2 linked regions of the Tamandua tetradactyla genome follow. The protein of the gene in region 1 purifies or fractionates together with the protein of each later gene. This does not show direct contact. Links are inferred from orthologs where the notes say so. Each region holds a gene or a part of one and is shown in the gene's direction. Other genes may lie near its edges. The genes, in order: PFDN4 and PFDN5.

Evidence for each region.
Region 2: the proteins of PFDN4 (region 1) and PFDN5 purify together in Homo sapiens (affinity purification with mass spectrometry; 5 studies listed by BioGRID and IntAct, counting the BioPlex papers as one, with this or other methods). This does not show direct contact. The link is inferred for Tamandua tetradactyla from reciprocal best matches to the Homo sapiens genes PFDN4 and PFDN5.

Annotation. Positions count from the first base shown.
Region 1 is NC_135327.1:31,400,700-31,410,276, reverse strand, and holds the start of PFDN4 (prefoldin subunit 4), read left to right. Parts: upstream 1-3,631; 5' UTR 3,632-3,873; coding exon 3,874-3,897; intron 3,898-9,577. UniProt on the Homo sapiens protein: Binds specifically to cytosolic chaperonin (c-CPN) and transfers target proteins to it. Binds to nascent polypeptide chain and promotes folding in an environment in which there are many competing pathways for nonnative proteins.
Region 2 is NC_135333.1:114,656,680-114,666,256, forward strand, and holds PFDN5 (prefoldin subunit 5), read left to right. Parts: upstream 1-3,672; 5' UTR 3,673-3,732; coding exon 3,733-3,804; intron 3,805-4,002; coding exon 4,003-4,105; intron 4,106-4,408; coding exon 4,409-4,440; intron 4,441-5,481; coding exon 5,482-5,556; intron 5,557-5,674; coding exon 5,675-5,780; intron 5,781-6,476; coding exon 6,477-6,553; 3' UTR 6,554-6,679; downstream 6,680-9,577. Other genes in the region: ESPL1 (separin), read left to right, coding at 441-596, 717-887, 1,014-1,118, 1,288-1,403, 1,576-1,659, 1,827-1,991, 2,289-2,490; MYG1 exonuclease, read left to right, coding at 6,954-7,169, 7,353-7,465. UniProt on the Homo sapiens protein: Binds specifically to cytosolic chaperonin (c-CPN) and transfers target proteins to it. Binds to nascent polypeptide chain and promotes folding in an environment in which there are many competing pathways for nonnative proteins.

The DNA of each region.
Region 1 (9,577 bases):
ATGTGCACTTGCAGAACTGGTTTTCTTGCTAGGAAAGAGGTTTTTCAAAGGATACCAAGGGCTGGGGAAAGGAGATGGACAGGAGTGTAAAAAAAAAAAAAACAGAGTGGATTTGAAGTACCAGTAAAGCTGGGGTCTTTACAGAGAGCCAATTCAGTACCAAGGCTGCTACAGGTCTGCTCCTGTCCCTCTGTCCAGATTTCATAATCCTCCCCTTCTGCCCAGCCCCTGCTGGACCCTCCCTTTGTGAACCACCCTAGAGGATGACTAGGAACTCCTGGACAGAAGACACTGTTGGCTGCTGACCCAGCCGCTGTTACCTCATTCTTCCTTGTTTGCAGGATCCCAGGTGTCTTTAGTTTAGGCAGCCATAGTTCCATCCTCAAGGAATCAATCATATATATATATTTTTTTCTTTTCTTTTTTCATGGGCAGGCGCTGGGAATAGAACCCGGGTCTCCAGCATAGCAGGTGAGAACTCTGCCACTGAGCCACTGGGGCCTGCCCACAATCATAACTTTTTGAAGGTAATCACTAATGGACTGCTTTTGCTAGGAATTGATCTAGACGTGGGCATGTGATACAGTTCTGACCAGTAAGACAGGCATAACAGCAAGGGGCAATCTGGGAAATATTTTCCTCCTTGAAGGAGAGAGAAAGAAGGAACGAATAAAAGAACCCGGGATTGCTATGTAGAGCTGGAGAGAATGAGAGGAGTATACCCCAGAGCATAGCAGTGAGGTAAGTCTCTCCCCTTTCCTCTCTGCCTTTGCATACCCCTGGTGAGGACATGATGCTTGTAGAATCAACAACCATCTTGTGATGATGAAGGGAAGGCCAAAGACTTAGAATATTCCTTCTCGATGCAAAGTCTTTTTGAGCTGCTGATCCAATCCAGCCATTGCCTCTTTCCATATTCCTTGTTATATGAGAAACAGTGGCCCTTATTGTGTAAATCACGCTCAGGTAGGTCTTCTGTACTTGGAGCCAAAGGTTTCCTCTGAATCAACCTCTTCCCTTGATGAATCAGAAACAGGGGACGTGGACACTGGAGGCTTCCCAGGGCAAGTCTAACAGCAGCTGGGCCGCTCATTTTAAACACCTGGGAATAATCTATTCCGATTACACTTCAGTCATCCTTCAGATGCCAGAAGCTGCTTTTCCAGAACAAACTGCTTTTCCAGAAGCAGCTTCTTCTATCAGAAGTCCTCTTCTATCAGAAGACTCTTGTGTGTCACTTTCAATATTCTTGGTTTTACCTGTCCTTGGTCACACCTGCTTTTGGCCTCGTGTTACATCCCAGCAGCCCCTACAGTGGCCAGCTCTGCATTGACAAGGTCAGCTTCAGGTGGGTGGGACCTCACCATACTCCTCCCTCTGCCTGGGCTTCTGACCTAGGCCTCTCACCTGCTCCCTCCCACCCTGGGGTTTCCTAGCTGCTGTGAGCCTCGTGGGTGGGGAGAGAGGCACCCTCAAAAAGTGTTTTGAGAGGTCATAACTTGGGCAGAGGAATTTTGCTGGCAAATGAGCAGTAGGGAGTTACTATTATTTCCCCCCATGAAAGTAACTTGCCCAGCATTGGACACTGGGGTGGGTGTGGGGCAGGCGTGGTTTGATCTCCAGCACTAGGCAGGCTGGCTCTCGAGTGCTTCCTGGTGGGTCTTCGGCACAATGCCTGCTCCTGCCCCAAGTCAGGGGCAAGAGTTCTTAGTCCACCCTGAGTCTGGCTCTCCACAGGATGTGTACTGGAGTGGTAGAGCCTAGTGCTCAGGAGTATGGCCTCTGCCATCAGGCTAGCCAGGGTTTAAACACAGCCTCTGTTATTTCCTGGTGGTTTTCCATCTCCTGACTTGGAAAATGGTCACCAACAGGGGTATTTACCTCAGTATGGTGAGGACGAAAACACTTAGCACGGTACCTGCCTCATAACACGTGTTCATTAGTTTTATATATTACTTTATCATCATCATCATCATCATAAGATAATGTTTAGCCCAGATGAAGGCTTGAGATACCTTCTGGTCATAAAATCTGTGATTCTAGGCTTCTCTCCCTGAGCCTCCCACCTTGTTCCTTTCAACTCAAACAATCAAATTACACTTCCTTGAATTCATACTCTATAGGTCCTCGCCTTTCAGACCTGTCATTTCTTAATACAAGTCATTTGGAAATCTCAGAAAGAACTCTCTCCTCCCCACTCCCCACTTTGTCCTCTCCATGGTCTAAAGAATCCCCATCTCTGAGTCTGGACCTTGCCTTCCACTCACTCTGTGCCACTCTGCCCTTTGCTCCTACATTCTAGCCAAGTTCCTTCCCATCCCACGACTTGTGCTCACGATGCCCCATCTGCCTGAAATCCCCTTTCCCTGTTCTTCCTATGGCTGGCTGCCGCCATCTTTCAGAGTGTAATGGCCACCTCCAGAGTGCCCAGCCCCGACCATTCCCTTCTGTTCTTCTCTGTCTCAGGCCCTCATTTGTCTCCGTCGTGAACTTGCCACCATTTGTAATAAATTTGCACTTTTTCATTGTCCATTTCTGTAGTGCTTTTAGGTGTTAGGTACTATATGTGAGCTATTAAATAAATGGATGTCATTGGTGGAACATCTATGTACCAGCTGCTGTGCAAGGATTTAACCTGAAAAACAAATCCCCTCATTCAGCAAGTATATGTTAAACTGGGCATTGGGAAGACCTAACTGCAAAGGGCTTGGAGTCTGGAGCCGGGAACCTGGCAGGAGGATGAACAATTAGTGTGGGGCTAAATGCTTTTGCAGGGAAGGCAGAAGGTGTGACAAGTCCATTACCCTCATCCAACCAAAGAGGAAATTGGGGCTTCGAGAGAAGAGAAAACCTCCACGGCATTGGCTCTCAAAGTGTGGCCTGAGGACTCCTAGGGATTCCTGAAATCTTTTCAGAAGATTCGTGAAGCCTGCCTTTTCCAACGACATATCTGTGTGAGGCCAGGTTTTCTTCACCTAGTTCAGCTAAACAACATATCGCAAGAGATTGAACACAGAAGCAGATGTTAGATGTTACTGTCTGCCTTCCATTAAGCCAGACATTAAAGAGATTTGCAAAAATGTAAAACAATATCATTCTCAATATGTTTTTTGCTTAGGAAAAGACAGCTATTTTCCATTAAAAATATTAATGTGGCATATTTTTGTTATTTTAACTGAATCAACAAATCCATTTTTTAAAAAGAATGTTTAATTTCTAATTTCTAATATGGTAGATATCGATAAACGTAGGTTATTTGGGTTCAGGGATCCTGAAGCAAACAAAAAATAGAGTTGGGGTCTAGAGGCATAGAACAAGCAACTAGCAAAGTCAAGGCCGTATGCAGAAATTGTTGAAAAACATTGTCGAATTAATTAATTAATTGGAGGGCTTCCTCCGAACACATCTGAATTATCAGTGCATATAAATCTCATAGTCTACTGACAAAGTCATTCGTTTCTAGTGCCTTTCCAAATGGGTCAATTCTCTAAACAAATTTGTTGGAGATGAAGAATACCCCTTTCTCCTCCAAGCCCTGCCCGGCGCTCCCAACCCCGCCCATCACACTTGCGGGGCTGGGCGTCCCCTGCCGGCCGATGCCGGAGTTGCGGCCGCTCGCCACACCTCCCTTGTTTATGTCTAGCCACAGGGAGACTGTCCCTTTAATTGGGATATACCAAGTCCATCCAGGTTGCGATTTCCTTCCTGAATCTCAGACTTCAGAGAAGTCTTTGGTTGAAGATCCCAGAGAAGGAATACGGTGACCGTGTTGTACTTTTTAGGAGTTCTGGGCTGACAGGGAGTGAGAGAGGGCACGGAAGAGGAGTGCACCATCGCGGCCCTCCCCCCCTCACGCCGTAACAGAGTCCCAAGATGGCGGCCACCATGAAGAAGGCGGTGAGTGGGGCGCTCCCGGCGCTGGATGCTCGGGCAGCGGGCGGGTTGCGAGCGTGGGGACTTGATAGGCGGGATGCTAGGGGTGCCCAGCTCTGAGGCGCGGGGAGGGGCTCGGAATTGAGGCTCCCGACCACGAAGGCGGTCTCGCGGCGAGACCTGCCCGCGCTGCCTGTCTCCTCAGGCCCGCCGGTTGCCTCGGGTGGGTGTCCAGACTGGGACTCTTAGGGGGCTCTGGGCCGCCTCCCGCGGTGTAGAGGGTGCCCCCGGAGAGTCGGAGGACGCCGCGGGTCTGTTCTTGCCCTTGGATTTTGGGAAGCCGAAGGTCCATGGTCTGCCTTTGACCCCTGTAGTAAACGCTTTACCTGGATTACCGCAGCTAAGCCTCACAAGCCCATGGGCTAGGTGCTTCTAGTGTTCTGTCTCTCAGGTGCTGAAGCTGAGGTTCAGCGAGTCGGGTAACCTGCCCAAGGTCACGCTGCTTATAAGGGGCAGAACAGGACACACTGTCAGGTTTTCTGGCCCCAGAGCTCGTGTGTCCATCCTTGAGCGGCCCATGTCCATGCTTAATGCACCTGTGCCCTCCGGACTAAAACCAGTATTTATGGAGAAACAGATGAGGTACCAGGGCCCAGTCTTCCGATTATTATCTCTGGTGCCAGCAATCTATCAAGGATACGGGTTTCCCCCAACTTTACAATGGAGAAACTTAGATGCAGAAAGGTTAAGTGACCCCAACCTCTATAAAATGATTTCCTTAATAAGAAGGGGAGCCAGGTTCAAACACAGGTTTTATGGTTTTGTTTTGTTTTGTTTTCCCTCAAAGCCTATCCTTTTTGCTAGTAAGCAAGCTCCCTCCCATTTGGGGTTTGTAATCGAGTAAGTGTACTCAGATGCTTAAAGATCTCTAGGTAAAAGAAAAATAAAATTTAGTGAGAAAATAATACCAGCTGATAATGGAGGCTTTATTCTGTGCTAGGAACAGTTCAAGGTGTGTTATGGTTTATTTATTTTAATATCAAATCTCATGACCCTTTTGGGGATACTGTTTTTTATCCCCATTTTACAGATGAGGAAACTGAAGTACAGAGGCACAGCTAGTATTTAAACACTGGCATTCTTACTCCAGAGCCCACCTTTTAAACTGCCAGGCCGTGAGAATGCTCTGGCTGAGGGGATTTGCTTTCCAGGTTTTATATACATTTGCCCTCATTCCACTTCTAAGACCACATAAGAGGAACTTGCTTTTTTTGCTTTCCTCTCTTCTGTATCATAAAGTCGAAGTTACCTGTGCCTGGTGTAGGATGACCAGCTATCTTGGTTTGCTCAGAAAGGAGGGCTTTCCCGCCACACAGTACTTGGAGTGCTAAAATTGAGAACTTCCTAAACAAACTGAGACAAATTGTTCTCCCTACTGGTTCTGGCATTCACAAACTCTTACTGTGTACCAGAGTAGTGCTTAGGTTCTTGGTGAGTCAAACAAGTGTGAGGCTTTGGTTTTCCACATTGCCACTATTAAATTGGGCCTTCCATTTTTAGGTGTAGCCTTTAATTCCCTGGAAGATAGCTGTGGAAATTGGCAGTGCAGAGAGATGAAATAAATGATAGAAGAATAATTTGAACTCTGAACTTTAATTGCAGAAATTTTCCATCACACCCCACTATGGATTGGATTAAATTAGTGACCACTGACCTTTTTTCCTTTCCTTGATGTAGACAATAAAATTTTTTTGAGCTTTTAATATGGTATAGTCTGTGTTTTAGGTGATGGAGATAACAATGGTTGAGCAATAATGAAGTCCATATCTTCATAGCTTCATAAAACTAAATGCTCTAGGAGGAAATATGGGCATTAATCAAATAGTCGCACAGTAAAATGTAAAATTTCCAGTGTGAGGAAAGGCACTTGTGAAATGAGGGCCAGTATAAGGTCTGAATTGAGGTCAGGGAAGGCTTTCCTGAGGTATCCTTAGGCTGAGATCTATGTGATTAGGGAGAAGGGGAAGGGAAGGTTGGTGAGGGGGTAAGGCATTAATTCAAAGACCCTAAGAACATGTCATAAAAGGAAGGCCAGAATGGCAGAGAAGGGGTGGGCAAAGGGAACCATGGTGGGCAAGGAGCATACAGAGAGAGGGATATGTGGTGGCTAATGCGTAAGGGATTTTCTTCTATATAGTGAGTCTCTGAGACTCACATGACAAATGCAACATCTTCCTGCATGTATTTCAGTGTTATGAATAATCCCTGCTGGGTTAGCTACATGTACAAACACTTTTCCCCTCTGTCCACTGTACGTGTATATTCATATACAGAGGTGTGCCAGTAAGTGAGAGTGAAATATCCTAGCAATAGCCTTTTTTTTGGGGGGGGGGGGGTGGTTACTGCAGGTATTTGTTAAGGCCCTTTATTGCACCAGAAACCATGTGAAGTTCTGGGGGTTTACATAAAAACTAAGCAGCAGTCTTGGCCTTGTTTTTTGTTTTTGTTTTTAATATTTTTATTGTTAAAACAACATAAAAACAAACATTCTTAACATACAAACATTCCATACATGGTGTACAGACAGTGGCTCACAATATCATCACCATGATCATTTTTTTTAGAACATTAAGAAATAAAAAGAAAAAAGAAAAAAACTCATACATACCATACCCCTTACACCTTCCTCTTGTTGACCACTATTATTTCCATCTACCCAATTTATTTTAACCTTTGTTTCCCCTATTATTTGTTTTTTATTTTTTTATCCATCTGTCCATACCCTCGATAAAGGGAGCATCAGACACAAGGTTTTCACAATCATACTGTAACATTGTAAAAGCTATATCATTATACAATCATCTTCAAGAAACAAGACTACTGGAACACAGCTCTACAGTTTCAGGTACTTCCCTTTAACTACTCCAATACACCATAATCTGAAAAAGGATAGCAATATAACGCATAAGAATAACCTCCACAGTAACCTCTCGACTCTGAAATCTTCCAGCCACTGACAATTTATTTTTTCTCATTTCTCTTTCCCCCCTTATGGTCAAGAAGGTTTTCTCAATCCTTTAATGCTAGGTCTCAGCTCATCCCGGGAGTTCTCTCTCATATTGCCAGAAAGATTTACACTTCTGGGAATCATGTCCCATGTAGGGGGGTAGGGCATTGGGTTACTTGCCATGTTGGCTTAGAAAGAGAGGCCACATCTGAGCAATGAAAGAGGTTCTCTGGGGGTGACTCTTAGGCCTCATTTTAAGTAGGCTTAGTCTGTTCTTTTCAGGAATAAGTTTCATAGGGGCGAACCTCAAGATCGAGGGCTTAGCTTATTGATTTAGTTGTCCCCAATGCTTGTGATTCAGTATCTCTGAATTTAGAATTAAAAGTTACACCTCCTGAATACATGTGACTGTTATGATCTAGGACTCTTTTACAATAACCCCCAACCTGATAACCCATGCTCTTGACTTTAGTTCACTGAATTTTTATATTATCGTTAGTCCATATAATTGAGGCATGTGTCTTTTTGTTCCTGACATTTCATTCAACATACAGTAGCAATAGATTTTGGGGGGGGGGGGGCGGGGAGGAGGGCATGGGCAGTCTCTGGGAATTGAACCTGGTCTCTAGCATGGCAGGCAAGAATTGCACCACCCAGCAGTTTACTTATTAAAATTAAAAGCAATAGCCTTTTGGTTTTAATAAGTAAGTTGTGTGCAATCTGGAATCCTTTAGTAATACATTATACCTTACAACTGGTCATGAATTTTGAATCTCTAGATGAGATCCTTCAGTCCTCTCATCTCTAAAGTTCTCCTTTTCAAGATTTTGCTCTGGACCATGAGGGATTTTACACTCTGAATTCTCTTCATTTTCCAGAGTGCAAATGTCTCCTCCTCAGAGAGGCCATCTCTGTCCTCCATGTCTAAAGAAGCACCCCTCTACTCCCCAGCTCCCAGCACTTTCTACCCCTAAACTCTATTTTATTTTCACTAACACATTTATCATTATCTAAAATTATCTTGTTCATCTTGTTTTTTGCCCACATTTCCTGCTAGGATGAAGCTTCCCTCTAGATCATAGTGTCTGGCTGAATAATTGTTGAATGAATAACTATATGCATGAAAGATGAATAATACAGGATAAGGCAAAATTTTATAGAGATTTGCTGAATATCTTTTTTAAAAATTAAAATGAAAGCAGACGGAAATGGCCCAGAATTTCTGTCTCTTAGGTTTTCAGGACAATGAGGGACCCCAGCCATCAATGAAGATTCTTTGTGTGACCCTGATTCAGTATGGGGCATAATTGAATAGAGTTTAGCTTCCTCCTATCATTCCGTAAGGTATTTATTGCCATGAAAATGGTGCAGTGAGTGCCCAGGGAATTTTATTTTCACCGTGAGCAGTCACATTTTCTCTTAGACTTAGCAGAATTTCCTTCTGGGTCTGTATCTGTGTATGTTCTTCCTTTGCAGTGACTTTGGCAAACAATATTCTAGAAATAAATCGCTGAGTTCTCATTTATTGACAGACTCCATCCCCAGGCCCTGTGCCAGCCCTACCAGATAGGACTTGGCCTCCCCATTTTACAGATGACAAACCTAAGGTGGCTTCAAAGAGTCGAGTAATTTGCCTGAGGTGTAATGGCCTGGATTTGAATACATTCTGGCTCTTCCCACAACTTTGTCCTACTTTCAATACTACAATATGACTTCTTCCTCTTTGAGTTCATAGGACTTCAAGAGCAGTAGTAATTAGCAAGAGTCTCGAACCTTTTGGGGTTGATGATCTCAAAGAATCTGATGAAAGCTATAAAGAGTCTTCTGGGAGGCATGCACCTGTTAAATGTTTTGCATACAATTTCCGGGGATGAATGAACTTCTTGACATTCACGGACAACCCCTGCACCCCAGTTAAGAGTTACGACCTCCCTGCCAAAATGCAGCTTCAAGAAATATAGGAGTGTTCTAGGACAGTGAGATGTAAGCAGAAGATACAGCTCTTAGTCCTGGAAGGTACCGATAGTTGCCAACAATGCGTGTTTGACCCTCACATAACGTTAGCCCTACCTCCAGTAGGAAAAGTAACTGTGAGGGATCTGGACGCCAGCAGCCAAGGCATGCTGGTGGCTGCTGTTAGGGCCCCACCAACAGGAAATGCCTGTTTTGAAAAGATGAAAGTCAGATGGCCAAATTCGTCTCTACATTTTCAAAAACAGTGTGTATGGGAGCCTGATCAGGCATGATTTAGATTCAAACTTAGAAACTGTATTAAGCTTCTGTTGTGTGTTAGGCAGGCTCTGTGCTAGGTGCTTTCACACAAATTACCCTCAAATCTTCACTGTTGACAAAGCATCTATAAATAAATATTGAGGTTTTCAGCGGCTCTCTATTGTTAAAAAATGGCATAAACTCGGTAGGCAAGCAGGAATTCTTTAAAATTCTCTCCTCTTTGCTTAGAAATTTGATAGTTCTTATATAGGCAAGATTTAAAGGCCAAGATATCTGAATATTGACTTTAGTATAACTCAGTTTCCCAGTTTCCATGTTTATAAAAATTATATAAGGGATTGAATACTCAAAGCCATATATATCATAATATAAAAGATTTTTTCCTTTTCCTTCTGCGTCTCTGATGATGGGCCTGGTGATAAGAGAGTATTGGGATGATGAGAGCCTAGTGCCACGGAGGGCTAA
Region 2 (9,577 bases), on another chromosome or scaffold:
ATGACCCAGGGGATGCTAATGTCTTCTCTGCCAGGGGTCCCAAGTCAGTGCTGAGCTACTGTGAGTCCTTTCTGAAAGTATAAAGCATGAATTTAAAAATTGCATGACTTTAATCAAGAGGCCAGAACTTGAAGAACTTATGGCAATGGAATGTTTAAAGACACACAGAAGATGAAGGCTGTAAGCCTAAGTATCAGCTGCCTGGCAGCAGCTCTCCTGGCTCACGTGTTCACAAATTTGTCAAAAAAAAAAAAAGATTGTCTATAATAAACAGTCTTATCTGTAGCCTCCCACAGGCCCACCAAATGAAAAATGTTTCTAGCTTCTTGCCTTTTCAACTGGCAGAAAGAAGTATAGAACAAATATCCATGGTGGAAAACCTATTTCCTCATTTCCAGAAAGAAACTTGTCTTCCTTCCTCTCTCTTCTCCTGTACTCAGGTTCTCATCACTTCCCTAGAGAAGGATGTGTTGGGCTGCTGGAGAGGGCTGTTGCTGCCATCCAGTGAGGACCCTGGCCCTGCCTGTGAGGCCTCCTGCTTACAGGGGTTGCTGCAGGAATGTGGCTGGAAATATCCTGACCCTACCCTGCTAAAAGTGAGTTAGAAAAGCAGGGAAGGGGTAGAAGCAGTAAACTTCATTCTTCTCCACAAGCCCAATAGCCATTTTGACTGGGGCTAGGGTTTACGGCACCCATGAACCTGTGTTCCCCTGCAGGTCATGCTCAGTGGTGCCAGTACCCTCAGCCCTCAGGAAATTCAGGCCCTGGCCTATGGGCTGTGCCCAGCCCACCCCAAGCGAGCCCAAGAACTTCTGATTGAAGCGATAGGACGTCTTCAAGGTCAGACAGTGCCAAACAAGAAGCACCTTGTCTTGGTGCTGGACAAGGTAAGGAGCTAGGAGGGTCAGAGGGCTGTGCCTGATGGGCAGTGGGCACCAACCTACTCCCACACTTATTTTTCCTCCTGTCCATACCTGGTTAAGGACAGTAACATCTGATTGCCTTTTGTGTAGGACCTGCAGAAGCTGCCATGGGAAAGCATGCCCACCCTCCGGGCACTGCCTGTCACCCGGCTGCCCTCCTTGCGCTTTCTGCTCAGCTACTCTGTTATCAAAGAGGTGGGGCTTGGGGGCCTTCCTTCAACTCGAGAGAGCTGAAGGAAGAGAGAGGCAGAGACCTGGAGAGATGGGAGAGGGTCTTAGGAGTGGGTTGGATGTGGAGAGGGGCTGTTGGAGCTTGGGCCTCCTGGTCAGACCAGGGTCCTGATCAACATTATCTACTCTTCAGTCTGGGGCCTCATCCGTGCTCAGCCAAGGGGTGGATCCACGCAACACGTTCTACGTCCTGAACCCTCACAATAACCTGTCAAGCACAGAACAGCAATTTCGAGCCAATTTTAGCAGGTCAGGGAAGGGGCAGGGGTGAGGGCAAGAAGACGGGTGGGGAAGGGTAGAAACAACTTGTAGGGGCAACATGTCCTTGTCTCCACCTTCTACCTAATGTTCCCTCTCCCCTCTTTGCCACATGACCCCTGCCATGCAGTTCCCTATTCTCACTCCTACCTTCTCCCCACAGTGAAGCCGGCTGGAGAGGGGTGGTGGGGGAGGTCCCAAGCCCGGAACAGGTGCAGGCGGCCCTGACTGAGCATGACTTATACATGTGAGTGCTTACACCAGGGAGCGGGGAAAGGGGTAGTCTCAGAGGATGGAACATCATGGTCTGCTTTGGAGCTTTAAAGCCTCTGGCTGACTCAGGATATTTCTGGAGACATGGACAGAGACCTGCTACTGCTAGTTTGAGGCTGACCTCACCTGTTTCTGCCCTAGCTATGCAGGCCATGGGGCTGGTGCCCGCTTCCTAGATGGACAGGCTGTCCTGCGGCTGAGCTGCCGGGCAGTGGCCCTGCTGTTTGGCTGCAGCAGTGCAGCCCTGGCTGTGCATGGAAACCTGGAGGGAGCTGGCATCGTACTCAAGTACATCATGGCCGGCTGGTGAGTCTTGGGTCAGGTGCATCCTAAAGCATTAAAGCTCCTGCTCCTAACCCCAAGTTCTTTCCGAAATCTGAACTCTGAATCTCTCTTGTGACTCACTTTCCTCCCATCCTAGTTTCCTGGCATGCCTGGTTGAGCCCTTTAATGCTTTGCCTCTTCTAACCTCCTCTTGGCACTGTGGGACGAGGGAGTCCCTCCTTGGCTGGATCCTCTCCTCCTCCCACCTCCCAGCAATGTTTACTGTGTATTTGTTTGAGATCCCTTATTATTTTGTATTTCTTCCTTCTCTCTTCCCAGTCCTTTGTTTCTGGGTAACCTCTGGGATGTGACTGACCGTGACATTGACCGCTATACAGAGGCTCTGCTGCAAGGCTGGCTTGGAGCAGGCCCAGGGGCCCCCCTCCTCTACTATGTCAACCAGGCCCGCCAGGCTCCCCGTCTTAAGTATCTTATTGGAGCTGCTCCCGTGGCCTATGGCTTACCTGTCTCCCTGCGGTGACCCCTTGGAGCTATTGTATATCTGGTAGAAGCCAAGTGACTCTGTTACCCCCCAACTTAGATTTTATCCTTAGAATAAATATTTTTAAGTGATTTCAGTGTTTTATATGAAATATTTCCTTTTAACTTAACCTTAATAAAGATATGTCACCTAAATACTGTTTGTGTAGCTCATTTGATAACATTTGTGGACTTCCTGCTTCCTCCCCACTAATCCCCCCCGGCCCCCACCATATGGTACTGTAAGTGCATGGGAACAGCTTTCAGGAGTTCAAATCTGAGAGCACTGGGGATAAAAGGCAAAACCACAGGACAGAGCTGGGCCTGGCTGGGTCTCAGCAGACAAAGCTGAAGGAGAGAGGGGTAATAAAATGCTCTTAGTGGGAACAGAGGCCCAGGGAAAAGTAGGGACCCATTGTGAGCAACTTGGCCAAGTGCCATCACGTCTGTCTTGTCTTTCTCCTCAGGTATCCTGGGTGTGACACTAGCTTGGTGCCTCTGTTATCTTGCCCCCCTTCCAAGTAGATGTCAGTGGCTGCTGTTCCTCTTTCACGTACAGCTGCTACACACTTGTCAGTGCCATGGACTTAAGCAGCAAATTCTGTGGGATTCTGCTCCCTGTGTATTTTATTTATTTATTTATTCATTTGTCTTCTCAACTAGATTGTAAGCTCCTGTGAAGTACAAATTATATCTTACGCTAGTGTATTCCTCACATCTAGTATATGGTAAATACATTTTGTGCTGAACTTGTTAGTTGTAATGGTACCTTCTTACTGTTCTCTCCACCTCTGGACACTCTTCATCTTCATTTGACCAAAGGACCGTTTTCACAGTGCTATGCCCCCTCCCACAGAACTTCACAGGCTTCCTCCTGGCCTCTCAGTTGCCACTCACGTGGATTTTTACCACTCACATGGAGCAGCTTACGCTGCTTGTGGTAATGTCCCGGGTACTTGTCTTATCTTTAAGATTTTTAAGTTCCTTGAGGACAGACGGCAGAAATCTTGCTTGCTACAACTTTACTGTGCTATGCTTGGGATGCTTTGTGAAAGGGATGCGCTCTTACCTTCTCGAATCAAAGGCGAATCTCGGGAATTTCCAGCCCCTCCTTCCTGGGACGGAGGAACATAGAGATATCCGGCGCAGCGAGGCCTCCTGGCGCTACCATCGAGATGCGCAGAGGATGGCTAGAGCGTAAAGCGCCGAGCCGACTTCCCTTTCATTAGCCCTCCTTCTCAATATGGCGCAGTCAGTTAACATCACGGAGTTGAGCCTGCCGCAGCTAGAAATGCTCAAGAATCAGCTGGACCAGGTGGCGACGGACCCCTGAAACACCCTTTTCCCGCCTCACAGCTCCCCTGCCCAGGCGGACTCCTCGCCGCCATTCCTCCCCTGTTTGGGAAACCTCCCTTCCAAGGCGAAACCGCCACCGCATCCCCGGTCCTGTCCCCTCTTCGGCCAGACTCCCCTGACGCTCCAACCCGTTGACCATCTTTCCTGTTCTCTGCAGGAAGTGGAGTTCCTGTCCACGTCCATTGCCCAGCTCAAGGTGGTACAGACCAAGTATGTGGAAGCCAAGGACTGTCTGAACGTGCTGAACAAGAGCAACGAGGGTATGAAGTAGGCGTGCGAGGGCCACACGCAACATAGGGAGTGTGGTTAGCCAGTTTCCCCTCTCTTCCCGCCGCTTCATCCAGTTTTCCTTACCCGAGGCGCGAAAACAATCCATTGCGTATTGTAAGAGCCCTTTGCATGTTCCATACCTAGAGTTGAAATGTACAGAACTTTCCTCTGTTTCTGTTGCCCCTGTTTCGTCCTTTTCATACTGGGTGCTGTACTATGTTGGAGTTCCCTGTAACGTTTTAATGTTGGCGCTGCCAACCTTCCCCAGGTGTTTGTCTTAATTCCTTTCACAGGGAAAGAATTACTTGTCCCATTGACCAGTTCTGTATCCTTTCCACAGGAACTGCTGCCCTGACCTCTCCCATTCACCCCTTCCCCCTCCACAAAGAGGAGGTAATTTTGATTACTTCCGAGTCCCTTTCATTCATGATTCTGAAAACTTCCAGCTCTCTTTTTTAATCTGGGGCTGCCTACCATCCAGCTACTGCCTTGTAAATTACCAAGGGGTGTGTAAAGTTGAGCTGCATTATTTTCCTTTGCTGTTTGAGGATATTAATCTAATATAGGGACAAAACTGGTAGTTTACACTTTTGCTAATAATCTGGATAGACGACATAGCAGTAGAAGAATAGGGTATAGAAACAGTGGTTGGCTCTGTTCCTTTTTCTTTTTCTTTTTTTTTTTTTCCGCATGGAGAGGCACCAGGAATTGAACCCAGGTCTCCAACATGGCAGGCAAGAATTCTGCCACTATTGGCTTTGTTTCTTAATCTTCAATTTCAGCTTAATTGTGGCTTTTTTTCCTAAATTGCCATCTCTGAGAAGCCTGGATTGTGTCCACCTATTAAGTGTTTTTGTTGTATGAACAATTTATGGCAATAGGTAGTCTGAGAACTGACAGGCTAAAAGAGAAACAAAGGAATAGCAGTACAGTAGGGAAAGGTTAAATAATCATTAAATTCATTAGGAACTAGGTAGTACAGGGTTGGAGGTATTAAGGGGAAGTGAGTCTGGGTTTTCACCTTTACTACTCTAGAAAAGTAGGAAAACATCATTGTATCTAATCTTTCTGGAAGAGCTAATGGGAAGAATTTGAGAATTGCTTGTAGGGTGGGAGATGGGGTCAGGGCAAGAGAGTGTGCTAGCATGTGACATTCTCTCCACAAGGAACCACTTTTTCTCTGCCTCTCCCCATTGGAGTTTTTAAGTATAGTTCTAAGGGCTTCTGATTATTCAGAAAAGGTTATATTCAGTCCCTTTGCCTTGAAGCTTTCTAGAGAAGGTGTGCCTTCAAAGGCCAAGCAGACTGACTTACTGGAATTGTGGTTCATACTGGGATAGTTTTTCCCTTAATCCTTGCTTCTCAGATGTACGTCCCTGGTAAGCTACATGATGTGGAACATGTGCTCATCGATGTGGGAACTGGCTACTATGTAGAGAAGGTGAGTTTCTAGAAGCAAATGGGTGCCCTTGTGAGCAAGAAAAGGGAGCTTAGGAGAAGATCTAAGCTGTGATATATGGTGTCTCCTCTTACCTCTCATTTACCTCTGACCTGTGCAGACAGCTGAGGATGCAAAAGACTTCTTCAAGAGGAAGATAGACTTCCTCACCAAGCAGATGGAGAAAATCCAGCCAGCTCTGCAGGAGAAGCATGCTATGAAGCAAGGTAAGCTTGACGTAGGCCATGTTTTGTCCCTTTCTACCTCCATGATTAAGAACATGGATTGCAGTGTGAACCCATAGGGTTTAATCTTGACTGGGTTAAAGCCATATCTTTATTTCTCTTCCTTTGGTGTTTTGGTGTGTTATTCTCTAGCTTTTGTGTACTATCTGTAGATTTCTGGGTTGGGTGCCTAGGATGGAAATCATGTCCGCTCTTACAGAGGTCTTATTTAATGGAGATGGAGTAGGGGATAAGATAATGTAAATGAGTATACAGGAAAGAAACATAGCACTAAGTAAGTACTAGTGATTGCTACCTTAGCTGCATGTTAGAATCACCTGGGCCTGCTCCACACCAACTAAATCAATCTCTGGGACCTTGTTCCTTAGGCATCAGTGTTTTTTAAAAGCACCCCAGTTACACAACCAGGATTGAGAACCCCTGTTCTAAACGCAAAAATCTTTTCCACGTTATATCTTGCAGTTAAGTTTGGCTCATTTAATACCATAATTTGTTCATTTTAGCACATTGACACATTGTAGGCTATAAGTTTGTACCTAGTGTGTCTGTCCCCCTATCACTGGTTAAAAATTGTATTAACAAACTGTAGCTGGTTGTCTCCCTTTGCTTTTCTTAACTCTAGGTCCTCTCCTTCCTTTAGCACTGGCCAGTGTCTGAATCTTCCTTTTTCTTCCCCAGCTGTCATGGAGATGATGAGCCAAAAGATTCAGCAGCTCACAGCCCTGGGAGCAACACAGGCTACTGCCAAGGCCTGAGCTTGTTGCAGAAATGGGGTTAGAGGGCACCCTGCTTCAGGGGCCTGGACTTCGTAGGAGTGGCTTTTTGGTGTGGGGAAGATAAGGGCCTTGTGTTTAATGCTAATAAATGTCATTTGGGCACAGTGTTGGTCTTTTCTTGCATTAATCAGGTACTGTGTTGGGGTTGGAGGTGTCCGGGAGAGTGGGCTCCTGCCCAGTGCGTGATAAGCTGTGAAGCGGTTCCCACTTTGGAGGCCCCACACGGGATCCCTAGGAGGAACTGAGAAATCTTGCCCTGCTTAGCAATGTAGTCCTGTGAGGGCTCTGTTGCCATGGGGACGGCCGGCAAGCGGAAGTGGGGCCAAGCGGGCTCTTCCCTTTCCGGGTTGAAGTTCCGCCTCCCCGCCGCGGGAGCCATATGGGTCATAGCTTCCTGTGCCATCTCCGCCAGTCACTTTCGTGGCTGTCCCCTTTCCAGGCTCGACTCTGCATAAGGAGCCTGGCGTCTGTCCCGGCCCCCAAACGACCCCGCGGCGACCTCATGGCACCGCCCCGAATCGGGACGCATAACGGCACCTTCCATTGCGACGAGGCACTAGCGTGCGCGCTGCTTCGCCTCCTTCCCGAGTACCGGGTATGGTCCGTGAAAATTAGCCCTGCACCTACCCGCGTGCTTCCGGGATGGACTGCGTTCTCTTTAACTCTACGTGTTCCAGCCCGTTCTAACTGGATCCCTCTGGTAGCACCCCTCCCACCCGCTCTGGCTCCCCTGTAATATATTAATTCCCTGCCTGCTCACCTCCCATGTATTCCGTAGGATGCAGAGATCGTGCGGACTCGGGACGCCAAGATATTGGCTTCGTGTGACATCGTGGTGGACGTCGGCGGTGAGTACGACCCTCAGAGACACCGATATGACCATCATCAGAGGTGAGTTCCCAGATCTCATTTCCTTTACCTCTTTACTTCACCCTTCCTCTGTCCTTATCGTCTACCTTGGTCCGTATCAGTGAAGGGAATTGGCCTTCGTTGAACTCAAACTCCTGAGTCCCGCAGGGAGTACATCCTCCCATCCTTCCAATTTCTGTCTGCCATTCACCCACCTTTTTGCCCTTAGACCTTTCTCACCCCTGACCTCTACCCATGCTTCCCTTGGCCCCCAGTCAATCCTGACTCACCTTCTTCAGCTCAGACTCTTTTCCTGCCAGCACCGTTATCACCCTAACTAATGCCCTTTCTGGGATTAATCCATTCATCTGCTCTTGCTGCCACACATGGGGCTGCTGGGCCCACATGATTGTAGTGATCGTTGGCAGTTTAAATAGGCATAATCTACCTCATTCAGACTCTTCCACTGAGAAATTTTTCTTGTCCAAGTGTGTTCATAGTACCATTCCAGTCCCCCTTCCTTCTCTTCAAGCTCTCTACCTCATTAAACCCCCTCAGTGATTGTCCCTGACTTCTACTCCTCAAAGAAAAGTGAACTTTTCCTGCATGAACTTCCTCAGTTTCCCACCCCTGAATACCCTGAACTCTCTCAATCCTTTTCAGGAAAAAGTGGTCCCTTGTTTTGGAGATTAGTCCTCTGCCCTTCTTCCAATCTATTACTTCCTTCTGCTTGGCTTCCCCTCACAGGTCTCCCACCAGCGTTTCTATTCTTCCCTACAGCCCAAAACTGTCCAAAACATCTCCCATCTTGAAACAAAGGAGTGAACTCAAAACAGAAAACCCCATCAAATCCACTACACTGTTCAAAGTAGTCATCTCTGAGGGATCCTGAAGACATTTTAAGTTTCTATATTTCTCCATCTCTTTTCTTTCCTTCACCCTATTTTTCTTAAACATTGTACTTCTTACTTTTATAAATGGTGTCTAAAGGGAAACCTCCCCTTAGTTACAGCTTAAGCTCTCACTGTCAGTCACTCTTCAAAAGAATAGCCTATCCTGGCTCTACCTCTTCCCTTCCAATTAATTCCCCTCCAACCAGCTGCAGTAGCCTTCACACCCATCTCAGTTGGCTTAGGGTCTCACTTTAACTGACCTCCTTGTGGCATATGACATCATTGACTACTTCCTCTTTGCTAACGGTTCTAGTTCATATACTTTTTCTAAAAATTATACAATGTCTGGAATATAAGACATAAAATGAATGCACACAAACCTATTTCCCTACCTAAGAATGGAAACATTGCCATAACCTTTGCATCTGTTCTTGTGAGCTTTTTCCCTAGCCCTCTCTCCTGTCTCCCTCACAAGTAAGAATGTTGTTCAGTTCTCACAATGGATTTTAGCGTATGTGTATTTCTATAAATGATGTATTGTTTAGTTTTGTTTGTTTTTAAACTTTATCAGGGAATGTTAGTGTATCATCAATCTTTATACCCTGTGTATATTTTATATATATTGTATTTGTACAATAGTTAATAATAAAAATCATTAAAAAAGAGCTCCCTAAATGATTCTGATGGACTGGTATTTGGAAATAACAGCTGTAGTTTTTATTTCCTTAATATGTAACACCTGCTCCTTATTCTCTGTCCCACTGCTGTTCAAATTTCTGCCCTCCTCATTCACCTGGACCATTACAGGTAATCTTGCATTCGTTCTCCAAATGGGCTGGCATGATGCTCTAAAATGCACTTGCCTGCTTAAAATCCCTCAGTGCCCCTCCCCCACCCCACTCCATTGCCTACAGATAAAAATCCAGATTTCTTTTTTTTACATCAATTTTTTTCTTTTTTATGAAACATAACCACATACAAACATAAACATTATCATATGATCATTCCATTTTGTTATGTAATCAATTACACACTATCATCACATAGTTGTATATTCATCATCATGATCATTTCTTAGAACATCTGCATCAATTCAGAAGAAGCAATAAAAAGAAAACAAAAAAATCATACATACCATACCACTTACCCCTCTCACCAGCATTTCAATCTACTAAATTTATTTTACCATTTGTTCCCCTTATTAGTTATTTATTTTTAATCCATATGTTTTACTTGTCTTTCAGTAAGGTAGACAAAAGGA